Linked DNA regions of Elephas maximus indicus. The protein of the gene in region 2 purifies or fractionates together with the protein of the main gene of each other region. This does not show direct contact. Links are inferred from orthologs where the notes say so. Each region holds a gene or a part of one and is shown on either strand. Other genes may lie near its edges.

Region 1 (7,207 bases), on a different chromosome or scaffold from region 2:
GTCTGTAGCCCTCTCCAGGTACGGGTGGGTCACGTACTTTTTCTGTGTCTCAGCATCCATGACGATGGAGATGTAGCCCTCAATGAGGGAGAAGGCAAAGAATGGGATGGAGCTGGGTTCAGGACTCCCAGAGGCCGCCTCCTTGGGGGCACTAGGGAGGGAAAGAAGGTTCAGAGGCTGTGCCAGGCACCCAGCCCACATCCGTCTCCTCCCCATCAGCCTCCCAACCCTGGGGCAGGGGCTGGTACCAGGTGACCCGGGGTAGGCCCTCCCTCTCTGGAACGCTTTGCTCCCCTGTCCAAGGCCCCAACTTCTTGACTGTGCAGATAGAGTACCACCTGTTATGCCAAAGACATAGGATCCCAGAGGCAAGAGGGCCTGACTAGGGCAGGGGTCTGGGGTGGCTCTGCTGACACAGTCGTAGAGGACTCCAGCCAACCTTGCTCAAATATTGGTGGAAGGCATGTGGGTGTCAGGGACTGTCAGGAACGTAGAACAGGGCACAGGGCTGCAGAACGTATGGACGGGCAGGAGATGGTAGGATGGAACACAGTGAACAACAAACAAGGGGCCCACCTGTGTGAGTAGAAGAGGACGTCTATGAGTGTGGTGGCAATGGCTGGCAGCGTCTCGGGATCCAAGGTGAGGACACAGAAGCGATTCTGAGGGCTCTGGACAGGATGCACCGTTGGGCTGGGCCCTGCTTGGGAGGGACCAGCTGGCTGGTAAACAGACAGCCATGGGCTAGGGCGCTCCCTAGTGGTGGGTCAGGGAGGCTCCTGGGCCAAGCATGGGGTCTCGCTCTCCAGGCACTGGCCTAGGTTCTTTGGGCCCACAGACCTGCCCACACAAGGGAAGAGGGGAAGAGGCCCCAGTGGGAAGAGGATCCCCTGCCCGAGTTTTGAGTGTCAGGGGGCAGCCCTCACCATGCTGGGCACGGGGAAAGCCATTGCTGGACTCATCCCTGGCAACGGGCACAGGCTCCCCGCCCACCTCGCGGTAAATGTCAAACTCCTGGGCCAGCGTGTGGATCACCACAGACAAGTCCTGCTCCCGCACCTGGCCATAGAGAGAAGACACATCATGTGGGTGCCCAGGAACCCGGGCCCACCCTGCCCCAGGGCCTGCAGACACTCACCAGGATGAAGTCCGTCTGGTAAGTGGACAGCATCAGCACCGACACGTGGTGCTCAGCCAGCGGCGTGATGACTGAGCGGGCGATCTTGGTAACCCCGGCGGCCTGCACTGCTGTGGCTGCACCGCTGTGGGATGAGACGTTCAGCACCAGCCATGTGGCCTCAGCCACTTGCAGGTACTCGGATGGGGGCAGCTCTGTGGGTAGGGGCACATGCCCAGTCAGGGTCCACAGAGCTGGCCCCTGTCCCTCTCTGAGCCTCAGTTTCCTCGTCCATACCTAGAGGGCCCTGTCAAGGTACTGGGAGGTCTGGAGAATGAGGCTGACCCCCCCCCACCCCAAGTTTTTCTCTTGAGATTCTCATGTATGCAAGGACTGAGAAGCACTTCAGGGACTGGCCTGCTAGGAATTGAAGTGTCCCAGACAGACCTGGGCTCAAATCCCAATTTCACCGTTTACTCAATGTGTAACCTGGGACAAGTAACTTAACCTTTGAGCCTGTTACCTTATCTGTAAAATGGGACAACAATATACCTATCTGAAAGGATGTTCTGAGGATTAACAAAGGCTTTACACCACTTGGCACCACCAGGAGGCGCAAGCACATCAGGTTGGCTGGGGATGTCCTTCCCCCTGGCCAACCCAGACTTCCCTGCAGTACAAACAGGGAAACTAAGGCCCGAAGCAGAGCAGTGGGGGATGGATGGGCCAATTGCCAGTTGGCTGGCCTGAGATTTCAGGTCTGGAGGATGGGCCAAGCTGGCAGGAATGGGAGCCAGAAGTCAGCTCCAAGGCTTGGGGAAGGGAACAGGCTGGCTTCCAGTCCACAGCGGGGGCCAAGCCTGGGTGGTTGCTGATCACCCAGCACAACCAGGAGGCCCCCTAGGACCCCGCTCTGGATGGCTGCCCGCTCCTGCATTCTTTCCCCAACCCTCCAACTCCTGGGGTTCCCAGGCTGGGGGGTGGGGCGGGTGACCAGCATCAGGGAGAGAAGTCCAGGAGCAGTAACGGTTAGGGGTTTATAGCAGCTCCAGAAACCCCCTCAGGCAGCCCCATGTATAAAGCACTCATAGGACCCTGATAGATCAGAACCATAACCACAACCATTTTACATAACAGTAACCAGGCTCAGAGAGGGAAAATGACTTGCTCAAGAGCACACAGCCAGTTGAGTAGTGGGTCCACATTCAAACCCAGATCCATCTGCCTTCAATGACCCAGCTCTTGGAGCACCGGACCCCAGCGCGAAGAGTCCCTCCCCTGCTCCTGCTTCCTAGTCCGGCCCCCACCTTTGAAGCCCTCCTCGTCCACCATGAGCGTGTAATCCTCGGGGGTCTCTGTCAGGCTGAAGAACTTGCACCTGGTTGGGGGAGGGGCGCCTTCAGCCTGGGGTGAAGAGCTCCCTGCGCTCATCTGCCTTGGACAGACATCCCGCCGGACGCCCTCCCGTCTGCCAGGTGGTTTAAGACCAGTGCTCCCCTCCGGCCTTAGTTTCCTTCCCGGGGCAGAGGGTGTGGGCGCCATCTCCCGAATAGCAAACTGATTTCCGCCTCCCGACCTCCCTGGACCCCTGCTCTGGCTTCTTCACGCATTCGTCTTTCCCTATTCCGGGAGACGGCCCCGAGGGCTTCAGGCCCTGGGTCCCCAAGCCGGACTTTTTGACCTAACGGGAGGCGCTTGGAAGCTCCCCGCAGTGGCCAGGAAGGAATCCACCCATCTGGCAGCACTTGGAGTTAAGCATTGCCCACTCTATGCTGTTTGCACCCCGACTGGCCCTGGGACCCGAGCCTCGCGGTGTCGGATAGGTGGCGGTCCCGGGGACCGTAGGTTCAGGCCTGACGGCGGCCGGAGGAGGAGCGTCCTCCCCACCCGCTCCAGCCCGCCCCGCAGCGACCCTTATCCCCCTACCCTGGCCGGGAGTGACAGCAGAGCTCCCAACCCCATCTGAACCCCCGAACCCAGGAGCGCACCGACTGCGGCGGGGCAGGAAGAGCAGCTTGATGAGCGGGTGAGTGTAGAGCCAAAGGCCGGGGCGGGCGAGGCTCAGGACCCGCACCCGGTGTTCTAGGATGTGCAGCTCCATCGCGACCCGCGCTGAGCGGACCCCGCGGCTAACCAGACCCAGGCCGCGCGGGAGGCGGGACGGCGGGCGGCGCCCGGGTTTAAAGGAGCAGTTGCGCGGACGCGTCCACACCGCCCACTACTCCGTGGACCGTCCCAGCCCCGCCCCGCCCCGCCCCGTCCTGCACCCCGACGGCCTCGCCCCGCTGCCCGCGCTGCCTCTCCGGGGTGGCCACGCCCCCCCGAATGACGGGGCTTCACCTCGCTCCTTCCGGACCTCGGCGGGCCCCGCGCCTTCGGCAGTAGCTCTTGGATCTCCGGCTGACCCTACCCGCTCCGCGCCCTCCAGGCCCCGCCCTTTCCGCAGGACTCTAGCAGTGCTGGGGCAGGAAGCGTCTGGAACGAATGGAGGTCGTCTCTGCCCTTTGGACCCCCACGTGGGTCTTATGATTGAGGTCATGATTGAGTTGATTGACGCTCGAAAGGCCTGCGAGGCGAACTGGGGCTCTGCTGGAACCAGAGCGATGCCCGCGATCCCCTGGGGCATGGAGGGGTAAAGGTCCGCTGTGCAGCCCTGGCGACCCTGTGATGGGGTCCCTCCAAAAACTGTGCCGGCGCTTTTCTCCCTCCTTCTTCTCATTATTTGGCAGGTGGCAGGGCCGCTAGAGCTGGCTGGGGTGGGGGTGACAAGTTCTCATCCCCCAGCAAGGGCTGCCTAGGGTGGGTATTGATGCATACGTATCCGTCCCTGCTTGGTGAACCCTGCGAAGGGGCTGACAAGGGGAAACCTGGGTCGGCCTGGGTGGCTCCCACATCTGTTCCTCTCACCTAACTTTCAGAGTAAAGTTCCCCACCAGGGACACATGAAAAAGGAGAGCCTCGGCAGCCTCTGTCTAAGTAACATGCCATGGGGTAGGGGGCTGAAGGTGGCCCAGACCTAAGGCTTGAAATCACGCAAGACTAACCAAGCCCAGAAGTGTTTGGTCCAGGAATGCCCAGGGCTCAGACTACAGGGATCAGGCCGAAGAGGGCAAACCCATGTGCTGGAAGCTCACTGGGTACTAGATCTCAGGCCTCCTAAAACCTGCAGCCATTAGTAGAATTCAGCTGGCGTGAGCACATCCAAACTTGCTTCAGGCCCAAGGAGGCCCCAGCAATGGCAGCCATCATAGACCTGAAGCATGTGAGGGCCAACCTGAGTTCATTTGAAGTTGAAGTCTGGGTTCTGCTTCAGCCTCCTCAGGTCTAAGAAGACTCCAAGGTTGAGCAGCTATCAACCCACCTAGGCTGGCCTGTGGCAAGACCAAACATGCTGCAGACCCAGTCTGGCCTGAGGGTCCTCAGGCTGCAGATCTCATCAGTCTTGAGAATCAGTCCTAAAGAGACCTGGAACCAAGCAAGGGAAAGTGGGCCGCAGCAGGCCTTCTGTTTTCTCTGGAGCCTCTCTGTAGGCAGATAGACACAAACTAAGCCCTGAACTCTCTACTCACTGGTTCCTGTGGACACTGCAACGCCACATCCTGGGCTGCCCCTGGAGGGCTAGGGGAGGGGTGTTGCTGAAAGGCTGGGGAGCCACCCTTCTCATCAATGCAGGTACAGATTGAGTGGAAAACCACAGGGGTGAGGGGTGGGAGGCAGGAAGTAGGGGCCTTGCCCTGATAGGCTTGTATGACCATTGGCCTCCCTAGGCCTCAGTATCCCTAGCTACACCGGGACAAGATGTTCCAGGCCCCAGGCCCTGTGATGCCTTTAAGCTCCCAGGGAGTTTCTCCTGCCCCCCTCACCCCACGGCCAGGCCCAGCCTGGTTGACTGCCAGGAACAGCCGCTATTGTTTGACTGGAAAAGCTGCTTCCTCAGCAGAAGGGGGAGCCTCTCCCAGGGACACCCTGTCCTTGCCCTCATCAGGTTGTGACCACTGCGCCTGCCTGGGCCCTCAATAGCAGAGTCAGGTCACCCTGGGACCTGGGTCAGGAGAGACAGCTGAAGGGCCCTGGGTGCAAATCTGGCTCCATTACTTCTACAGGGGAAGATTCCTTTCACGCTCAGATCTTTCCTGGCCTGTAAAATGGGGATAATAGACTGGAATAGGGAATAAAGGCTGGGCTGAGGAGTAACTGATCAGGCACAACCTGGCGACACAACCAGCCTGGCTCGTGGCACGTGCTCAGTCAATGGGAAAAGAAAAAACCAAACCCATTGCCGTTAAGTTGATTCTGACTCATAGCGACCCTACAAGACAGCAGAACTCCCCCATAGGGTTTCCAAGCAAAGTCTGGTAGATTCAAACTGCCAGCCTTTTGGTTAGCGACATAGCTCTTAACCACTGTGCCACCAGTCAATGGGAGGCAGCAGTTTATCAAGGAGGCAGACTTCTCCCCTCACCTCTCTACCTCTGATGGAGGCCTAGGCTGAGTACATGAGGGAATTCATGGACCCCCACCCCGGGCGCCAACACCTAACCCAGAGTGAGCACTCAGAATCTCATTGGGGCCTGATGTGGCATCCAGGCCAGGTCTTGGAGGAGGAAGACCCTGAAGCCACTTCCTTAAGGTAATGGGTAGGGACCAAGGGCTGGGAGCAGGCCCTGCTCTGCCCCAGCCCTGGGATCCTGGCCTGGTACCTCTTATCCACAGCAGATGGTGGACATGGGACTGAGGGAGTGGGGTGGGGAGCTGAGGGCCAGGAACAGGGGTGGCCCTGAACTTGGCATCCCCTTTGGCAAATGTGCTGAGAAAGGCTCTGGGGCTGGGCTGGGAGCCAGGTGTTCCAAGGCCCAGGATAGGAGACTCTGTAGGACATGGAGAAGAGACGCTCAGCCCCATGGGTGGCATCCCCTTCTGGTCCCCCGCTGAACACCAGCTCTCTACACAAGTCTGTTTATTTCTGTACAAAACCATGTTCCTATTTTACACAAAGAACACCCAACCCTTCACCCCGCCCTCTCCTCATATCAGTGGCCCAGCCCCGGGGAGCATCGCCCCAGGAGGAGGAGGAGAAGTAAGAACCCACCCACTTGGCCCTCACTTCTGCCTGCCCTGGCTGGGCTGCCTGAGCTCCACTCTGGAGAAAATAAATAAGGAGCTTCAGGCAGAGTCTGTAATGAACCAGTCAGACCCCATCCCCACCCACCAGCCAGGCGGTCAGGCCCTCAGAGGGTGGGCAGGCCCTGGAGTGTCAGTCTGTTAACCGTATAGATGTGTGGAGACCCCGCCCCGGAGGCCTGGGCTACCAGGGTTACAAGTAGGTATCCTCGCTCTCCTGGGACGTCAGACTCTCCTGGGAGCAGTGGTGGGCTGAGTCCTGGGGGGCTGGGTCCTTCAGGGGCGTGTCCTGTGGGGGGCATGCATCTCCTGCAGCAGCTGCCACCTCAACTTGGCCTGTGGCTGGGGACTGGCCCACCTGGCCGCTTGCTTTTGCCTTCTTCTGCTGCTCCTTCTTTTCCTTCTGGACCTGCTTGGGCAGCTTGGGCTTGGCTTTGGAGCCAGGGAGGTGGGCATCTGGGGGCAGGCGAATGGACGGCGAAGGTTCCAGAGCCAGCCGGGGGCCTGGCTCCGCCTCCAGGATGGCCTTGGCACCATGCAGCCGGGGCAGGGCGCAGCACTGCAGCTCACCCCGAGTCTCCTGCCAGCGCCGCAGCTGGATGAGGTGCTCACGCTCAATCTGGCGCTCTGTCACAGGCAACTCCACTACCTGTGGGGCAGCAAGGGGTAGGTGCACATGAGGAGAAAGACCTTCCCCTCTGCCTCCCAGCCTGGGCCCCTGCCCTCCATCAGCATCCCCTAGCCCTGGCCACTAAAGGCTGACCCCAGGAAGGATGGGGGTCTGGTCTCTGCAGTTTCCACAAGTCCCAGAGTTGCATGCCAGGGAAGTCACTGCTTCGGGAGAAAGCTGCACACAACTCCTGATTCCACTTGCCGAGCTACAGGGCAGGAAGCAGAAGGACTTGGACAAACCAAAACCTGTTTTCTACCCACATGACCCCATCACTGCCAGGACAGCCTGGCTGCCTA
Region 2 (7,028 bases):
CATGCCTGCCCCACCCCACCCAACCCCACTCACCTGGTTGCGGCCCAGCTCTCGGGCCACCTTAGCATTGTGGTCACAGAGCTCAGCCAGTGGCCGGCCAGCCAGGGCATAACGCTGGGCCGTGTCCACGAACCAGCTCATGCTGCTGCCACCAGCCTCTGTCTCAAAGATGCTGAGGGCACTGGAGGCCAGGCCTGCAAAGGGCTCGGAGGGGTCCAGCTTGCGTTTGAAAAAGATGGGGTGGCGCCGGTCACCAGCATAGGGCTTGCGCCCCAACTCGGCAGCCACCAGGCTCTCCTTGGCAGCAAAGGCCAGGTCCCCAAAGAGGCCGTAGCAGAGGCCCTCAGGGTTGGCACGCTCGACAGGCTGGCTGGCATCACGGAACAGATGCTGGCACAGTGTGCTGTCCTTGGAGCCGGACAGCAGGAAGGAGGGGTCGTGTGGGTGGCGCCAGGCAATGCCTGTTGTGACGTCACGGTGCTCCTCAAACATGGCGGCAGGCACAAAGGGCCGGCGCACATCCCACACGTAGATGTTGTGATCTACCATCATGGAGCAGGTGGCCAAATGGTGGCGACACTCAGGCCGCCACTTGACACGGGCTACTGAAGCGATGGTCTGTACACAGTGCACCTCCCTGGCACGGGGCGTGGTCATGTCCCAGACCTTCACCATCTTGTCACGTCCACCAGTGGCCAGCCAGCCCCTGCAAGAGCCCCGCCAAGACCTCAGCATCCTCTTCTGTGGGAGGGGGGTGCCTCAGTCCTGCTGTATCCTACTTTCTCTGATTCACAGGTCTGAGTCAGTGAGAGAGACCTCTGTGCCTCACCCGTCTGTCCAATCCCCCCACTACCACCACACCTGTCCTCAGGTGACAACCCCACACATGCCACACCTGTCCTCAGGTAATTCCCCCATATCACACTTCTCCTTAGATGATTCCCCCGCCCCACACCACACCTGCCCTCTGGAGACCCCATACACACACCTGCCCTCGGGTGACCCCCCCATGCCCCACCTGCCCTTGGGTGACCTCACGCACACACACCCTGTCCTCAGGTGACCCCTCACACAACACCTGTCCTCAGGGTGCCAGTCGCAGCAGAACACAGGCCCGTTGTGGGCCGTGAACATCCTCTCGCAGCGGTCAGGCCGCCGGATGTCCCAGAGCTGCACGTTGCCATTCTCAAAGGTGGAAGCAAAGGTGAAGTAGTCTCGGATGCTGAACTGCACATCACGCACGCTCTCGGACTGGCCTGCAGGTGGTTGGCCATGGAGGGGAGGGGCAGGAGGAAGTGAGGGGCCAGTCCTCAAGCTCCAGGATGGGAGGAGGCCTGGTGGAGCCTCTGAGTGGCTGAGGACTCGTTTCCATGCCTGCCTGCAGCCTTAGCCTAGAGCCCAGAGGTGAAATGGGCACCCTCAAGCACTGCTTAGGGCACAGCCGCAGGGAGAAGCCTCGTGGAGCAGACACAGGCACCTGGCGCAAGGATGCAGACACGTGGCCCGTGCCCTGCTCCGACTCTGCTGGCCTTGCCTCCTGTCTCAACAGCTCTCAACCCTCATCCCTCCCCTACCACATCCCCTCCCCTGGCTCATACCTCAACACCTCACTCTCTCTGACAGTTCGGCCCCACTCCACCCCCAGCAGGTCCAGGTGCCACTCCCACCTCATCCAGGCCTGCTCCTCCTGAACCCCTCCTCTAGGAAGCCCTCTGGGGCACACCTGAAGGCCTCTGAGGCAGGCAACACTCCTGGCCCGGCCTGGACAGGCTGGGATGCCTACTGAGACCTGCACTTGTCCCATCCAAACCCTGCAGGCCTCACCTGAGAAAGTGCTGACAGAGTCCTTCCTGCGCAGGTCAAAGCACTTCATGAAGCCGTCCTGGGAGCCACTGAGCAGCATGTGGGCCTCAGTGGGATGGAAACAAACCTTATTCACCGTGCGCTTATGCTCTGTGAACAGCTGGTCCTGCTTGTTGCGGGATGGCCGACCCAGGTTCCAAGTGACCACCACGCCATTGGTGGCCGCTGTGGCCAGTAGATTGTCGTCCATCTGGTGCCAGACCACATCTGCACAGCTCAGGTTGAGCGAGGGCTTACGGCCCACACGCAGGTTTAGTTTCTCCACAAACTGCTCTTCCTCGATGGCGTAGATCTTGAAGATGCTGCGGCCAGCCACCACAACCTGGGCCGCATCACGGCAGACGCTGATGGCATTGGCTGGCGCATCCAGATGGCAGTGCATGGTGCGGCCCGTCAGCACATTGCCACCCAGGGCGGTGGTTACACGGGACATCTTTTCCATTGCTGCACGTCTGGTGGGGGCAGGAGGTCAGTGAGCAGGAAGGCTGGTCGACTGTGGGTCTGTCCCTCAGTTCAGACCCTTCACACTCGCTGGGCCCCCCAGGACTGCTCGGGCCTGGGCTTGGCTGGGCAGCCGTGAAGAGCTGGTTCAGGGCAGTCCACGGGTCTCTGTCCGTCAGTCTAATAGGCAAGTTCAAACTCACTGGAGTCAGTTCAGCCCATCACCCTAGCTAGGTAGGCCACTTGGCCCCACAGTACCCTGAGGCGGGTCAGTCTCGGTCTAGGCCACCTCTCTACCCCCTCATCAGTCAGATTTGGGCAGTCACTGGCCCCTCGGTCAGTCAAGCCCGGCCGTCCGCGTCGCTGGACAGAGGAATGAAGTGGCTCCCACGTCCACACGAAGGCGAGGGAGTGACAAAAGAGGAGAGAGGCAGATGGGTCCGGAGGACCCAGGCGATAGAGGCGCGGGGGGCATAGGGGGGCCTCGAGGCCCGAGCTGCTTAAGGAGCTGGAGGGGTTTGGAAGACGGGCGGGACGGGAGACAGCAGAGGCGCAGGCGGAGTACTGAATTCCTGAGGGCGGCGCGGAGGTGCCGGTGGCGCGGGGGAGCAAGGACAGCGGGACCGGAACCAGAGCAGCGGGGGCGGCTATGCTTTCCGCCGGCTCCCAACGCATTTACCAAAGCTGCCGGCCGGACGCTAACAGCCGCGCCGGAAGCGGTCCGTTTCTTACCTGCCCCTCGCCGGAAGCGGTTCTTTTCACTCGCCCCGCCGGAAGCGGGCGCGAATTCTCGCGCACACCACTAAAGTTCCGGGTCAGGAAGCCGCTTTGGTATCCGAGGAGGATAGCCCAGGACTGGGACTGGGGGGCCTCCCGGACTACCCGTTTTCACCTTGGTGTTTTTATCTCAGTATTTAAATGCCAGTTTTCATCCCTGACATCTCCCTCCTCCCAGGCGCATCAGCAAGTCAGATCTTCCGTAAATGATTCCCAGATTCCTCCAATTGTCCCCCAAATACATCCTTGCCGACTCCTGAGCCTCAGGAGCAGCCTCCTAACTGCTTTGCCTGGGCCTGCCTTTCCCCTTTGACCTAAAACCTACAGGAGCCTGGTACCACTCTTCCGCTTAAGCCCTCCCCCATAGCTCCCACTGCAAGCTTGGCCTCCACCTCTCCCCATCTTCCGCCACACTTCTCCCCGCTCCCTGTGCCCCAGCCCTAGTGGCTCCCGTGCCTTTTTTTTTTTTTTTTAGCACGCAGCGCTCCTTCCTGCCTCACGGCCATTGCACCTGCTATACCTGAATGGTTCTCTTGGCACCTCTCAGAGCTCAGCTTAAATATCACCTTCTCAGAGGCCTTCCTGGCCACTTCTGTCACTGTCGCCTCCACAACATGTCACAGCCTGTTCGTTTGCTTACTGGTTCACAAGTATGAACTCAACAAGGGCAGGGATCGAGTCGGCCTCAGTCTCCACCAGACTTCCAGTCCTTGACACAACCTGTTTGCAGGATTCCTTCAATCAGTGACCCTCTCCCGCATTCCGTTCTCTGCTGGGTGTGAGTCCTGGATTCTGCCCTTGAGGCACTGTGTGATGTTTTAGGAAATCCCTGCCCCTCTCTTAGCCTCAGTTCCCCTGTGTGTAGAATGGGTCTCATTTTGGAGGGAATATTATATGCAGTGGTTTCAGCATCTGGGAGGTTAGGCGTCTTCTGTGTTGGTTACTGCTCTGTTCCCAGTTTGGCACAGTGGCACACAGCGCCAACATGTGTGTTGAAAGCATGTTGAGAGGTACACAAGGATCCACATAGATCTGGGCCACCCACAGCAGGAAAACCCTCCCCCGGCACGGTCTGATGACCTAGAAACCACTCAGACTCGGGTTTTTACAACATTTTTAATATATATTTTTATAAACAGGTCACGTGATAAAATAGCACAAGAAACACTTACCAAATATAAGGTTATATCTTCCGCATATACAGGAGAATGAGGTCATTATGTACAATAAGAAAATGATTTCAGGGGTTGGTTGGTTTTGTTTGTTTTTCCTCTCTCTCTCTCACTTTTCCTCCTATAGTTGCTGGAAATATCAGAGCTTCAGTTCCTTTAATACTTTGGACAATGGACAGCTCCCTCCTCCCCACTAAGGGGCTGTGGAGAGTAGGGGCTTAAGAAACTGGTTCCTGACGACTTCAGTCCCAGTGCCTCCTGCTGGCACTTCAAGGGGCAGGGAAACCTTTGGGCTGTTGAACTGCTTCTCTGCTTCAAGAGCCTCTGCTCTCGTTTGCTCTCTTTCTCTTTCTCACTCTCTGGCTCTCTGGAAACTGCTTACTCTCTTCCAATCAGATTTGGGGGGTGTATCTCCTGGGGCTCAAGGTTGGGATGGAAAGGGGTCCCAGCCCCCTCCTCAGCAATTGCCAAGATGTCCCAGCATTGCCCAGGACTTCCAAGTGTCTTGGAATCAGACAGAACATGGCCAAAGCCCATTTGGGCAGGCAGAGGGTTGGGAAACTGGGAGGGATGGGAGGGGGGGTTAGAGGGAAGCCGTCCCTCCTCTAGGTGCAGAGGGTATGCTGGCCACTGGAAGATTGGGGTCACTGGCTGGCGCTTCCCCCAGCCTTGGCCGGGGCCCACTGCTACAGAATCCACCTGGTGGACACCTGCCTACGGTGAAGCTTGGTGTTGAAAGGCTTGAGCCAGCGGGTGGCAGGGGCTGCAGTGTGGGCTCTGCCCAGGCTGCTCCCAAGGCCTTTGGGCCCTGAGGTGTCAACTCCAGCTCTGGGTCTCTCATTGTGCCTGAACCATCCCTGGGTTGAGGCATTGGCTGAGCTGATATTGATCACTCCCAGGTCATGACTGGTCAGCCAGGCCACTGCTCTTACAACCTAAATCTGCCCCAGCCTGCCTAGGGCCCAAGGACAGGGAGGCCAGGGGTGGTGTGGCAGGGAAGGGGGAGGCCCGTTTGGGCCAGGCTGGCCTGGGGCGGGGGAGGGGCAAGGGAGCTTGGGCTCCTCGGGGCGGGGGGGGCCATGGCTTTGGCGCACTCCTAGGAGGGCTCCAGGCACTGTGCCGTGGAAGATGCGGGAAGCCCTTGGTGCTCTTTCAGGTCCCTGTGTCCTGGGAAACCCAGGTCCCTCGATCTCCCTCTCCCCCTGCCCGGGGCCCTGTCCGGAATGGGGGGTATCACGGAGGCCGAGAGCGGGGTGTGGGCGGGGAAGGCAGTAAAGGCGGCCGTCTGGTGAGCTCAAAGCGCGCCCCCAAGACCGAACCCTGGCCCCCGCAGCGAGTGGGCGAGTGATGGCGGCGGAGGGGGCGTGGGGGAGGGCGGGCGTGCAGTGCGGGCACGAGGGGCATGCACAAAGTCCCCGAGTGTGCGAGCGTGCGAGGGGCTTGCCCACTGTCCCTTCCTGCCCGGGGCGGGGCCAGGAGAGGAGCGGAGGTGACGGGGGGGCGGGCGGGGGGGCGGGCAGGGCGGGGCTTTCCCTCGGCTCGCCCGCCCCTCTCCGCCCCGGACTGGGGTGGGGCTCCCCCGAGGGCAGAGCTGGGAGAGGAGGCTCAGCGGTGTCCCCGCCCCCCACCCAGAGCATGACCGGGTTCAGGCGATGGGGGCGGGCAGGACCCCGCGCTATTCGATGACGAGGCAGCGGGGCAGGTGCTGAGAGAAGTACTTGAAGAGCTCGGGCGTTGCCCCCGGGCAGTTCGTCAGCTCCAGCTCCTCCAGCTCCTGCAGCTGCACCAGGCCGGACAGCCCGGATGTAGTCAGCAGCGGGCAGCCTGCGGGCGGGCAGGAGGGGGAGGTGGCTTAGCCTGGGAGGGGTCGGCCGGGGGCGGGGCCGGCCAGGACCCGGCTTGGCGGGGCTGGAACTTGTCCCTGTCTCCCTCTTTCTCTGGTTTGGACCTGGGACAAGGCCAGTCAGCTCAGGTGTGAATCCGCACAAGGGACCAGATGGACTAGTAGGGGTCGGACTAGTCGGGGTTGGTCACTGACCAGGAGGATGGAGGGGGTCTCACCTGCCAGAGACAAGAGACGCAAACTCCTCATGGCCAGGAGGTGCTTCAACCCGAAGTCCTGCACCTAGGCGCGAGCGCAGGGGTTATTTCTGTCCGCATACTTGGGGCGCCTCCCAACCCCACCCTGCTCTGGGGTCAAATCATAGTACTGGGCTGCTAGAGGGGCAGGATGCGGGGCTCAAGAAGGGGTTTCCTTAGCCACCACGGAGCCAGGAGGCAGTTTGGGAGTGCCAGTGAGGGCCTGAGGACCCTGTAAGGCCTACTTAGGTCCGCCGCTGGGTGCGGAGGGATCCCAGACTTCCCTACAGTGTGTGAGTGGAGCGGGAGAAGGTCAGCGGATTGTCTGGAAGGGGGCTTTTCCCTCAACCCCCACTTCCCCCAGGCGCTCCTCCATCCTCTGAGGCGAGGAGGGCCGGTACCTGGCAGCACCATCGAAGGTAGAGGCTGCGGAGGGACGACATGGTGGACAAATAGCTGAGGCCAGTGTCCGTGATGCGAACGCACCTGTGGGTGGACCAGAGGGGGCACTGCCCGAGGCCACCTTCAACTCATCTGGCTCCATTCCTCAACTCCATCCCCTTGCTCCTTTTTGGGAGTCCCAGGAGTGGATTCGCCCCCTGCCTCGCCCCACAATAGCCCCTCCCTTTCCATTGCCAGTCCCAGCCATGGTTCCCTTTCACTCCCTGATCCCTCTGCGGCCCCACCCACTCCCGA

Evidence for each region. The genes of interacting proteins can lie anywhere in the genome.
Region 1: the proteins of WDR24 (region 2) and CASTOR1 purify together in Homo sapiens (affinity purification with mass spectrometry; 3 studies listed by BioGRID and IntAct, counting the BioPlex papers as one, with this or other methods). This does not show direct contact. The link is inferred for Elephas maximus indicus from reciprocal best matches to the Homo sapiens genes WDR24 and CASTOR1.

The regions. Positions count from the first base shown.
Region 1 is NC_064840.1:26,092,196-26,099,402, reverse strand, and holds the start of CASTOR1 (cytosolic arginine sensor for mTORC1 subunit 1), read right to left. Parts: upstream 3,015-7,207; 5' UTR 2,660-3,014; coding exon 2,425-2,659; intron 1,333-2,424; coding exon 1,139-1,332; intron 1,060-1,138; coding exon 927-1,059; intron 701-926; coding exon 577-700; intron 152-576; coding exon 38-151; intron 1-37. Other genes in the region: TBC1D10A (TBC1 domain family member 10A), read right to left, coding at 6,432-6,887. UniProt on the Homo sapiens protein: Functions as an intracellular arginine sensor within the amino acid-sensing branch of the TORC1 signaling pathway. As a homodimer or a heterodimer with CASTOR2, binds and inhibits the GATOR subcomplex GATOR2 and thereby mTORC1.
Region 2 is NC_064830.1:57,902,458-57,909,485, forward strand, and holds the start of WDR24 (GATOR complex protein WDR24), read right to left. Parts: upstream 3,009-7,028; 5' UTR 2,306-3,008; coding exon 1,825-2,305; intron 1,257-1,824; coding exon 1,049-1,256; intron 707-1,048; coding exon 34-706; intron 1-33. Other genes in the region: FBXL16 (F-box/LRR-repeat protein 16), read right to left, coding at 5,929-6,077, 6,315-6,378, 6,734-6,818. UniProt on the Homo sapiens protein: Catalytic component of the GATOR2 complex, a multiprotein complex that acts as an activator of the amino acid-sensing branch of the mTORC1 signaling pathway. The GATOR2 complex indirectly activates mTORC1 through the inhibition of the GATOR1 subcomplex.